Linked DNA regions of Drosophila melanogaster. The protein of the gene in region 1 interacts with the protein of each later gene in a pairwise test. Each region holds a gene or a part of one and is shown in the gene's direction. Other genes may lie near its edges.

Region 1 (2,976 bases):
AGCTGTCAGATCAAGTTGGTGGTTCGAACTACTTCGATCTGATTCGCATGACGAACAAGGATCTCTGCAAGCTCCTCGATTCACTTCGCAATATTACAGTGGAGGAAATTCCGGGCGAAAGCCTTTTGCCCTCGACTTTTGTTGTCTCATGTCCTTTGGTTCCAGGCTTCTATTTTGTTGAGAATGGCGTTATTGATTCCAAACTGGTTCCTTTCCGCATTCCCGATGGCAGATACATGGTACTTTTTGAGCTGATACAAGTCTACGAGGAAGTTATGAAGCTGATTTCATGCAGAATCAAGTTTTCCATTAAGACACCACCTGGATACACGGAACCATCGCTGTTTAAAAATAGCGAGGAAAATAAAGCGACTGAGAAGCCAGTAGAGAAAACCGAAGAAGCAAGTACAGAGGTTACTCAGTCGAAAGAGGATAGTTCGGAAGTATCAAACGATTACGAATAATGTAATTTTTGTAACTTAAATTTTTTCAAATATATTATACATGGAGCCTCTCCCTTTTTTGCTAAATTTTTTCACCCAAAAAAACAATTTTTACACATTTTCTGCAAAATAGTACCATCTATCACCGAGTTTCGGGTGCGTAATAAAATTTATTATCTCCCACTAAAAATTCGCCGGGATTGAGACATATCGCACATGTTACAGCCACGCCCATAAATGTTAATTAAAAAACCCAGGGGCATGGGAAATATATCAAACATGAATTTAAACCGCGCGAGACAAGCCGACGACAAAGACTAACTCAAAGATATCCATTCAATCCAATCTTTTAATTTGTTGTCATGGTAAACTTTGTTTGTGATATCCATTCGACACGTATTTGTTTTTGTGGAGTACAAACTGTGGAATGTTTTTTTGAGCTGCGTTGACATTGTGGCGGCATTCTCGAAAGTTCGTTATTTACATATTTAGAGCAGGGCGAATGTTTCCGGTTTTCAGCTGCAAGATCGTCGTCAGCATCATCAATACTTGCACGATGACTGGGCAAAAAAAACACTTGGCCTCCGTACCAATCATATGTTGGTTTTTATACCATCGCCCAGCCCAAAATGGTTCCGTCGTTTAGCTTAACTTTTATTGATTTAGTATTCCACTCTACAGGCCTGACAGCTGTTCAAAGTGTCAAATATTTATGGATCCTCTGCTCAAGTGATAATTTATATTTTAATTGGCTTGACCACTGATCATTCGATCATTGGATCTTGAACTTCAGATTAACTTACCATTTGAATTGGGTGATCGAGGGGCTCTAGATACACTGAATTAGCAATTAAACTGCCTGGCATTACAATTTCCGCCTTCTTCCGGGTTTTGTTTAAATATTACTCCGCTGACCGCATTTGAGGTGACCTTCATTTGTCGATGTCTTCATTTACCCAGTCTGATTATTATTTAATCAACGATCAACTTCTTCAGTGGCTTAGCGAAGCAAACAAAAGATGCCACCACCAAGTAAACAGGGCAGCCTGGTTTTGCTGCTCGGTCCCGCTGCCGAAAAAATTGGCCCGAAAAAAAAAAAAAACAAAGCACCTGCCTCAACATGCCACGCCCCTTGAATCGTCTGCTTTTGGCCAGGTTTTTCTGTTTATACTTCTTTTTCGCTTACCGTCTTATTTATGCGAGACTCTTTTGTTTATGTATCGTTCATTTGTCCTCTTCTTCATTGCAAACTGCAGTTTACACATGACATTATCATCGATGGTCACCCAAAAGTTTGGCTATAAAAAGGCCTGATGCCAGATGGAGCCATGTGCAGTCGATATTTGGATTAATCAGCGTAATCATCTCCCCAGCAGCAGCAATCATGAAGTACCTAGCTCTGGTGAGTATTTGGATATAACATTTGGATTAATAATTGGATTAAATGATTTCCAATTAAGTGCAACATATGAAGTTGTTTGTTGAAGTATATTAAATTTTCAATTTGTACTAAAAATCTATTGTAATTCACATTTTTCAGACCATTTTCGTGTGCCTTATGGCCATCGCCCTCATTTCTGCCGTGCCCGTGGATGAGTCCCTGATCGGCGATAATATCTACCAGCCTGCCTTCGACGATGTCCAGCGTCCCCAGGATCCGCAGGCCATCTTCAAGCTGAAGAAGCTGCTCAAGTTGAAGAAGCTCCTGGGTTAGGAGAAATTCGCAATAAGCTTCGTTCAGATTCTAGTCCAGCCAATTGGGAACCTTGCCTCCCCCACTACATTCGATTTTCAAACCGTTTTGTTTAGACAATACCCAATAAGCACAAACACACAAACACACACAAAAGCACATACATACGAGTAAAGTATACGTAATCGTAACTAAAATAAATGTTATTTTCATACACGTCGGCTTTTCTTATATCATCGAAGCGTCGGGGATGAGATCTCCATGTGTGTCCAAAAAGGAGCTAATGACTGGCAGCGGGTCGGGTTTTTGTTTGCCTAGATCTGAATAAGAAACCCGTTTCGGATCGTTTCTGGGTAGAGAGTGTGAAAAGCGAACGGAATCTTCCTTACATGCGTATAAATATTGGCCAATCTCAGTCGTAAATGAATCAAGTGGGTTCAATGATGTGCTAATACAAGGAGCCCACTGTGAGATTAATGATCATACCTACTTTCATTAATTGGCATGATTAGTTAACTTGATATGCCAGTAATATTATAGCTTAACTAAATATAATATATTAAATATTTTCAAGTATCAAAATTATGTAAAAAGTAACGATAACTCATCACATATTGACATATTGAGAGCTGGTCACGAAAAATCGGACATGATTGCCATCAAGTTGAAGCACATGGTTCCAGCCTTTCAACTTACCATAAATTTTAACATTCAGGTGTATTAGTAGTATTAGGAATGATTTTAATGTGATCGTAAAAAAAGAAAATTATTTGGAATTGAAGGTTGGACCTCTTCAAACAAAAGACTTAAGAAGCGAACTTGTTTTTTTTTTGGGCACCA
Region 2 (7,977 bases), on another chromosome or scaffold:
GAGCTCTTCTTCGATGACCCAAAGAAAACGTTGCGCGGTTTTTTCGAGCGAGAGGGTCTAAATCTAGAGTACAAGTGCGACGAATTGTCCACCGGTTCCTTTGTTTGCCGTGTGGAGCTTCCGCTCGACGATTCCAATGGCAGGCCAATCATTGTTGAGGTTAACCACAAGGGGCGCAAGAAGGACTGCGTGGTGCAGTGCGCCCTGGAGGCGTGTCGAACGCTGGACAGGCATGGTGTGCTGCGTCAAGCCAATCAGGAGGCCCAAAAAAGGAAGCAGCTCAAAAATCGGGACTCTGATGACGAAGATGAGTTTTGGGACCGCACCGGTGATGTGGCGCGTAAGAAGCAGCGAAAGGATAATGCTGGAGTCAGTGTCACCCTTACCTATGAGGATTTGGTAAGTCTTAAATTACTTTTTCATCAACAGACCGACCAATTCCAACTTTTCCACAGCTGAAACAAGAGATTGATCTCAACATGGAAATGGAAAAGGTAGAGCAGGAGATTTCCACTTACCAACAAAATGAAAAAAAGCTGAAGGAGCTGGCGGCCAAACAGCAAGCTGAAGGTGATGATCTGGACAACTTCATGGACATGCTCACCAAAGACGTTGAGCAACTGGACAAGACGGAGATCAAAAAGTTAAGGGTAAGTACTTACAGATATTAGTATAAACAAAATGATTGATTGACTTCCAATTAGTTGGAGCAGCAACGAATCAAGGGCGAGCAGCAAAAGGTGGAACGCCTGCTGAAGATTGCCAAGCCCACTGCGCTGCCATTTACCACAAGCCTTGCGGCGGGTTCTAAGGAGTCGGCCGCCCAGGAAGGTGGTGCAGCCAAAAAAAAACAGCTTCCCATGATTGGCAAGCGAAATCAGTTTAGTAAATTTAAGGTGGTCAAAGCGTCACCAAGCACACAGACTATGACTCAATCTAATGCATTTGCCTCCGATGAGGAGGAAGTCGAAGAGGAAGAGGTCAAAGAAAAAGTAAAGGAAAAGGAGGCAGAGGTGGACAATTTGGAGAAGGAAGAGACGGAGCCGGAAAGTACGACAAAGCCATCGACTCCAGAAAACGATAGCTTGAAGGAAACTAAACTCCCTGCTCAACCGGAAGAGAGCAAACCAACAGTCGCTAAAACGGAAGTCCTAAAACCAGAGAACGTGAGGTCAACAAAAGTTTCAACGGAAGCGCCCCCAGCTCCCAGCCACACTGTTGCTTCAACTAATCCAGATGAAGACATGAGCACCCCCGTAGAAGACTCCAGCGCGCCAGCTGAAGACATCACCGCCCGAGCAAACGACACATCGGAACCGGAAGAAGCGCAGAAAAAGCGACGTCAACGCCAGCGACAGCGCAACAAGCAGCGCCAGGATGTGGACATGGACCTCGACGAGCTGGCCGAGCATGAGGACACCGAAAAGTACGCCAAGTGGGTGCCACCGACCAACCAGAGCGGCGATGGAATCACCCACTTGAACGAGAAGTTTGGCTACTAGCCCATTGGTAGCCCTAAAACACTGGAAATATTTAGTTTACATGTACTTTAAAACTAGTCTAGGTCTCGTAATTGATGTATTCTATAAGACCCTCTCATTGTAACTTTGTAAATGTTGAACCCTTGAATGTTTTCATATTTATTTGTTTAATGGGTACTCGGCGGTACTTTAGACGGAGTGGTAGAGCTTTTCACCACCATTCCAGTGCTGGCAACTCTCCTTCGCGCTGGCAATCACCCCTAGTTTGAGTCGAGTGGCGGCTTCCACGAAACGATTCATCCGGCGATTCGATTAAAATTCCTGCGCACATACACAAAATGAACGCCCACTCGGCTCAGCCATTTTGCGTCGAAGAGGCCATCGGTTCGCCGATGGGACTCCAGTACTTGAACTTCCAATTCAGTTATAATTTCGTCGCTCTAACCGCCAACACGGTCCGACGGCTGAACGTGGAGACGTGTTTTTAGTTTACCAATAGACCGTAGTCAACTGCTCGTTTGTTTTTACCAAAAACCGAATGGCTTTAGTTTGATTGCTTAATTCATTTTCAAATATCGATCTGATTGGATTCAGTCCACCTTGAAGTTGGGTTCGATTTAATAGCCCACGCGATTGCATTTCAAACAAGCCGAAGGCTTGTCAGCACCACTTGAACGAACGTGTGGGTGGTTGGTTTTCTTTTTTTTTTTTTATATATAATCTGGAACATTTTCGACAACTTCTCGGGTGCGAAGCTACATAGTGGCATTGGTTTTGATGTGGCCGACACGCGTTTCCCCAACAGCCGGAGCACATGTGCGGGTTACATTTTAGGACGCGTAACAGCCCGTCTCAGAAGACGTCCCTCCGCTGGGGCGACTGCTGTCTAGCCTAGTCTAGTCTAGTGTTCCGACCGCCATTCGTGTTCCTTGGCCGGAGACCTCATCCTCGAGTTCGATTCCCTCGCGACTCACTGCGTTCAAGCTAGTACTACTACGGGGCAGCCCGCATCCACCAAGAGCCCGTTTGGAACAGGAAATGTTGCATAAGTCGAGGCGCATTTGATTGGCGCGCTTCTTTGATTGTCGTCGCTAAGCTCCACAATCGAAAATTGGCGTCCGCTTGAACTTGGCGCACAAATCGCAAGACAGAGGTGAGTGGCTACCCGCAAATACGATGGGTCATGCGCAGACTGCTGGTGGGGATTACTTCTCACACTATTAGTCCGATGCGCTCCGTGCTTTGCTCAATTTTGTGAATGAAGCAGCCACAAGGGGGCAATGTGGCACACGGATTGAGGTGTTCTCGCGGCGGCCGCTCGCTTGACGTGGCTATGACGTACTTGACCCGCCTTCCCCCACACACACAAGGTAGTTTGAATTGTTTATGTATTTCACATAAGCGGAGTGAAGTCCCGACCATCCCGCTCCCAAAGTCGGTCTGTTACATAAGCAGGACACGTGCGTGTGGCTGCAATCAGAACTAATTTCCGCACATTTAAATGCTTTCACTATTGTTCGAATTACTTGGGAACTAAACGCTTACGCTAATAAATTATTAAATATTAGGTCCTTTTTACAAATACATTGATTCATTCATAAGAAGTTTATATCTAAATGAAAAATTTGATAATGAACTTCTTTATTTCACATTTTTGTAGTTAACAAAGCACACCTTTACGAAGATTTTCATTTGATTGTTAATTTTATTTATTAAAATCGAATTACAACAATATTTTTTATGCGTATTTATACAATTGTGATACTTTGGCATACAGTACAGAGAACTAAAGATTCTAGTATCTATAGTATCTAGTATTTGTAGTATCTAGTATCTATAGTCGATCTATTATAATTATAGGACCCCGTGGAGGTCAAACTCAATGCAATAGCTCCTTAATTGCGCGCCATTAACAAGGACGCATTTTCTGATGGGTGGGTGGGACGATGGAATGGAGGGGTGAAGTTGAAAGTGGGAAGTGGGGGCAACTCCAATTATATCCTTGCAAACAAAGGTCAGGCGCACCTGAGGCCATGGCCAATGCATTGGCTTAATATTTAATGCTTCGTGCTGTTGCTAGTTAATTGAAAAATGAGCTCCTGCCATATTAACCATTATGCTAAAGGATGTGGCTCTATGTGAAACCCTTGTATTCCATTACAGCTAGAAGGTCAACCCCATTTTGAGAGTATTTGGTTACAGCAGCGCGTGGAGAACCTTAAGTTTCGTAGCCAAGGACACGACTGAACTGCAAGGATGATCAATATCGCTGGCGTGGTGAGCATCGTGCTCTTCTACCTCCTGATCCTGGTCGTTGGCATTTGGGCCGGTCGCAAGAAGCAGTCCGGCAATGATTCGGAGGAGGAGGTCATGCTGGCCGGACGCTCCATCGGCCTCTTCGTGGGCATCTTCACCATGACGGCCACCTGGGTGGGTGGCGGCTACATCAACGGCACGGCGGAGGCTATATACACATCGGGTCTGGTGTGGTGCCAGGCTCCATTTGGATACGCTCTAAGCTTGGTATTTGGTAAGTCAACTTTACAGATTCCAATTAAGATTCCTTTCTTAACAAAAAGTGATTCTATCCTCCTTCCAAACTTAGGTGGCATCTTCTTTGCCAATCCCATGCGCAAGCAGGGTTACATCACCATGTTGGATCCGTTGCAGGATTCCTTTGGTGAGCGGATGGGAGGATTGCTCTTCCTGCCCGCTCTATGCGGTGAGGTCTTTTGGGCAGCCGGCATCCTGGCTGCACTTGGCGCCACTCTATCGGTGATCATCGACATGGATCACCGCACCTCGGTGATCCTGTCCTCCTGCATCGCCATCTTCTACACACTGTTCGGTGGACTGTACTCCGTGGCGTATACGGACGTGATCCAGTTGTTCTGCATCTTCATCGGTCTGTGGATGTGCATTCCCTTCGCCTGGAGCAACGAGCACGTGGGCAGCCTGAGTGACCTGGAGGTGGATTGGATTGGGCACGTGGAGCCTAAAAAGCATTGGCTGTACATAGACTACGGCTTGCTGCTCGTCTTTGGTGGCATTCCCTGGCAGGTCTACTTCCAGCGGGTGCTGTCCAGCAAAACGGCAGGAAGGGCCCAGCTTCTGTCCTATGTTGCAGCCGCCGGATGCATTTTGATGGCCATTCCCCCGGTGCTCATCGGAGCGATTGCCAAGGCTACACGTGAGTCCTAGCTAGACGACACTAGCAAGTAATAAACAGATATCCCCAAAATAGAAAGCACATATCCTTGGTGTGGGGGGCAGATTACCTATGCACCTTTGACTAATGTCTATTTTCTTTTCTCTGACAGCTTGGAACGAGACAGATTACAAGGGACCCTATCCCCTGACCGTGGACGAGACGAGCATGATTCTGCCCATGGTGCTGCAGTACCTCACGCCTGACTTCGTGTCCTTCTTTGGATTGGGCGCTGTTTCCGCCGCCGTGATGTCCTCCGCCGACTCCTCGGTGCTCTCCGCCGCCTCCATGTTCGCTCGGAACGTGTACAAATTGATTTTCCGTCAGAAGGCGTCCGAGATGGAAATCATTTGGGTGATGCGAGTCGCCATCATTGTGGTGGGCATCCTGGCTACCATCATGGCCCTCACCATTCCCTCCATCTACGGTTTGTGGTGCGTGAGAAGATGCATTATTCACCCTCCCTCAGCTCATTTTGCTAAGTGCCTGCTCTTCTTATCTTTCCGGACAGGTCCATGTGCTCGGATCTGGTCTACGTCATTCTGTTCCCGCAGCTACTGATGGTGGTGCACTTCAAGAAGCACTGCAACACGTACGGCAGCCTGTCGGCATACATTGTGGCCCTGGCCATCCGACTGTCGGGCGGTGAGGCCATCTTGGGACTGGCTCCATTGATCAAGTATCCCGGCTACGACGAGGAGACCAAGGAGCAGATGTTCCCCTTCCGCACCATGGCCATGCTGCTCAGCCTGGTCACGCTCATCTCGGTCTCCTGGTGGACTAAGTGAGTATAAGGCTATGTAAATTACATAGTTACTACATATTTGATTTATATTATTGTAATTAAATTAAATGTAACCCTTCTCCTAACCAATTTCAGAATGATGTTTGAGTCCGGCAAGTTGCCGCCCAGCTACGACTACTTCCGCTGTGTGGTCAATATTCCGGAGGATGTGCAGCGTGTGGGCGATCCCTCGGAGTCGGGTGAGCAGCTATCCGTGATGGCTGGACCGCTGGCCCGATCCTACGGAGCGGCCACCATGGCGGGCAAGGATGAGCGCAATGGCCGCATCAATCCCGCCCTGGAATCGGACGACGATCTGCCGGTGGCGGAGGCACGTCGCATCAACCAGGAGACGGCGCAGGCGCAGGTCAAAAAGATGCTGGATAACGCCACTGGGGTGAAGCCGTCGGGCGGAGGCGGTGGTCACCTCCAGAGCCAAAGCGGGATGGCCATGCCCACGGCGGAGCAGGACAATACGGCCTTCTGAGCGGAGTAGCGGAGAATCCCATGGCATCTGGGCAGCTGAATGCCCGAAAATAGGCTGCAGTTGATACCAGAGAATTATCCGATTTTATGTTGCGCTTGTTAGGGGGACACAAATGGGGGGAAGTTGGGGTCATCAGATCGTGGAATGGAGTACAGAAAGTATTAGGAAACGTACGTTAAACACACAAGTGCTCAGGTAAAAATTGCAGAAAGCTGATCGTAAGGTTTACATTTTCATTTAGCCAACTTATTGTGTATAGTTTCTACAAGCTTAAAGCGTTGTTCTATCGGTATTCATTTTGATGTTAGAGTATCTATCTATGTGTAAATGTTCACAAGTCAATTGACGACGAATACATATCAATTGCATTTTCCTAGCCCGAGAATTGCCTAGGAACACGTATTAACCCAAAAGGAGTTAGCCCAGTTAAAGTGGCTATGGATTAAGATGTATGTATAACCAAAGTGACGAGCATTTGAGCAATATGAATTGGCATTCCTGGCATTAGCATATCGATCATATATACTATACTATATAGATGCATAAAATGTGAATCATGTGTCCTTCCAGAACGAACAAAGCTAAGCAAAACTAACTAACTAACAAACCAATGCAAACGAAACATATCAAAAAAAAAAAAACAAAACAAGGCGGAAGTATATCAATATACATATCAGTCGTGTTAGCTATATAGGAGAATCGGGGTATGAAAAACATCCACTATATCCAAACAGTAGTCGTGTAAGTGGACGAAAGCGAGGCATATCGAGTTATATAGGAATGAATTTTAGCTGCTCTCAAAGAGCAAAAACCACAAGGTACATACATGGCAGATGAGGCACAGGAATGCAGATCTATATATAAATATACACATATATATATATATAACATGTTGCGTCGTAGTACCTAAAGATATACCTATACAAATCATATACACAAGCATATATATACATACACATATCTAGAAGCCAGCCACTGAATTTAGAGAGTTATACCCAAAGGAAACAACCACACCCACTGACCCACGAACCTGCTAAAGAACCATTGGCAAAGGGAGTTTCCGATCTACATATATAGACAAACACACGCTGCCTGAACCCCAAACCTCAAATCCCAACCTTTGATCTCCATTTGAGTATATATTGTAGTTTACCAAGAGGTGGGCATTGGTTCATCCTCTTCAAAGTCACTCGGCTCGTTTGTTGCTCTTTCGATCCGTTGGAAAGAACTAATCCAAATCCAAATCCAAATCTAAATCTAAACCTGAAATCTGAATAACTAAAGTCAACTCAAGTAAACTAATATGCGTAACTAACTTGGTAAGATTTTGAGCCCTATGGAAAATACCGCAACTACATACAACTCATTAAATTGTAATAAATGTTGACTGCTTTTTGATTGAGCCTCGTATGTTTGTTATATCGGGGTCGAGTTTTTTAACGTTTACATAAGTGAAACTAACTAAGAAGAGTTTGAGTCCATTTAGGATTATCTACCTATCATATGATATATCAAGCATATCTGTTCGTTGTTATTGTTATTATCTCTTGCATCCGTTCTGAGTGTGTCAATTTCGATGGCGTTTGAATCCGTTTAACTAAGAACTACAATTTGACTAAATTTCCAGAGAGATCCTACATAAAAGTATGTTAATTATGTGTGTGTTTGTATTCCATGTCTCGCGTTTCTTTGTGCAGTTCACCAGGTTTGTAAATAAGCAAATTATAGTTACTCGAATCGTTTGTAAAGTTACTATCAACTAAACCAAAACCACCAAATAATTTATGCATTCAACTGCGATGAACTTACTTCGCTTGGTTAAAACAAACAGTTTTGCAATTAGTTAAATATATACTCGTACCTACTTCTGTTATTGTTAACCAAACTTGGTCTATCACTCCAAGTTACCTTAGTGGCATTATGTTAACCGAACTAAATGAAATTAAATACAAAAAAATACAAATGAATAGGACGAAAGGTTACGATATACATGATGTATTAAATTAAAATTAAACCG

The links.
Region 2: the proteins of CG15212 (region 1) and ChT interact in a two-hybrid assay, tested with the Drosophila melanogaster proteins (one large-scale study listed by BioGRID).

What each region holds. Positions count from the first base shown.
Region 1 is NT_037436.4:5,129,777-5,132,752, forward strand, and holds CG15212 (uncharacterized protein), read left to right. Parts: upstream 1-1,768; 5' UTR 1,769-1,827; coding exon 1,828-1,845; intron 1,846-1,983; coding exon 1,984-2,157; 3' UTR 2,158-2,351; downstream 2,352-2,976. Other genes in the region: CG4597 (uncharacterized protein), read left to right, coding at 1-464.
Region 2 is NT_033777.3:18,678,703-18,686,679, forward strand, and holds the start of ChT (choline transporter), read left to right. Parts: upstream 1-1,901; 5' UTR 1,902-2,295; coding exon of another isoform or gene 2,296-2,376; 5' UTR 2,377-2,634; intron 2,635-3,644; 5' UTR 3,645-3,737; coding exon 3,738-4,011; intron 4,012-4,086; coding exon 4,087-4,671; intron 4,672-4,801; coding exon 4,802-5,123; intron 5,124-5,200; coding exon 5,201-5,473; intron 5,474-5,569; coding exon 5,570-5,960; 3' UTR 5,961-7,977. Other genes in the region: CG7706 (uncharacterized protein), read left to right, coding at 1-399, 456-650, 705-1,502; CG46318 (uncharacterized protein), read left to right, coding at 2,296-2,376. UniProt on the Drosophila melanogaster protein: Imports choline from the extracellular space to the neuron with high affinity. Rate-limiting step in acetylcholine synthesis. Sodium ion and chloride ion dependent.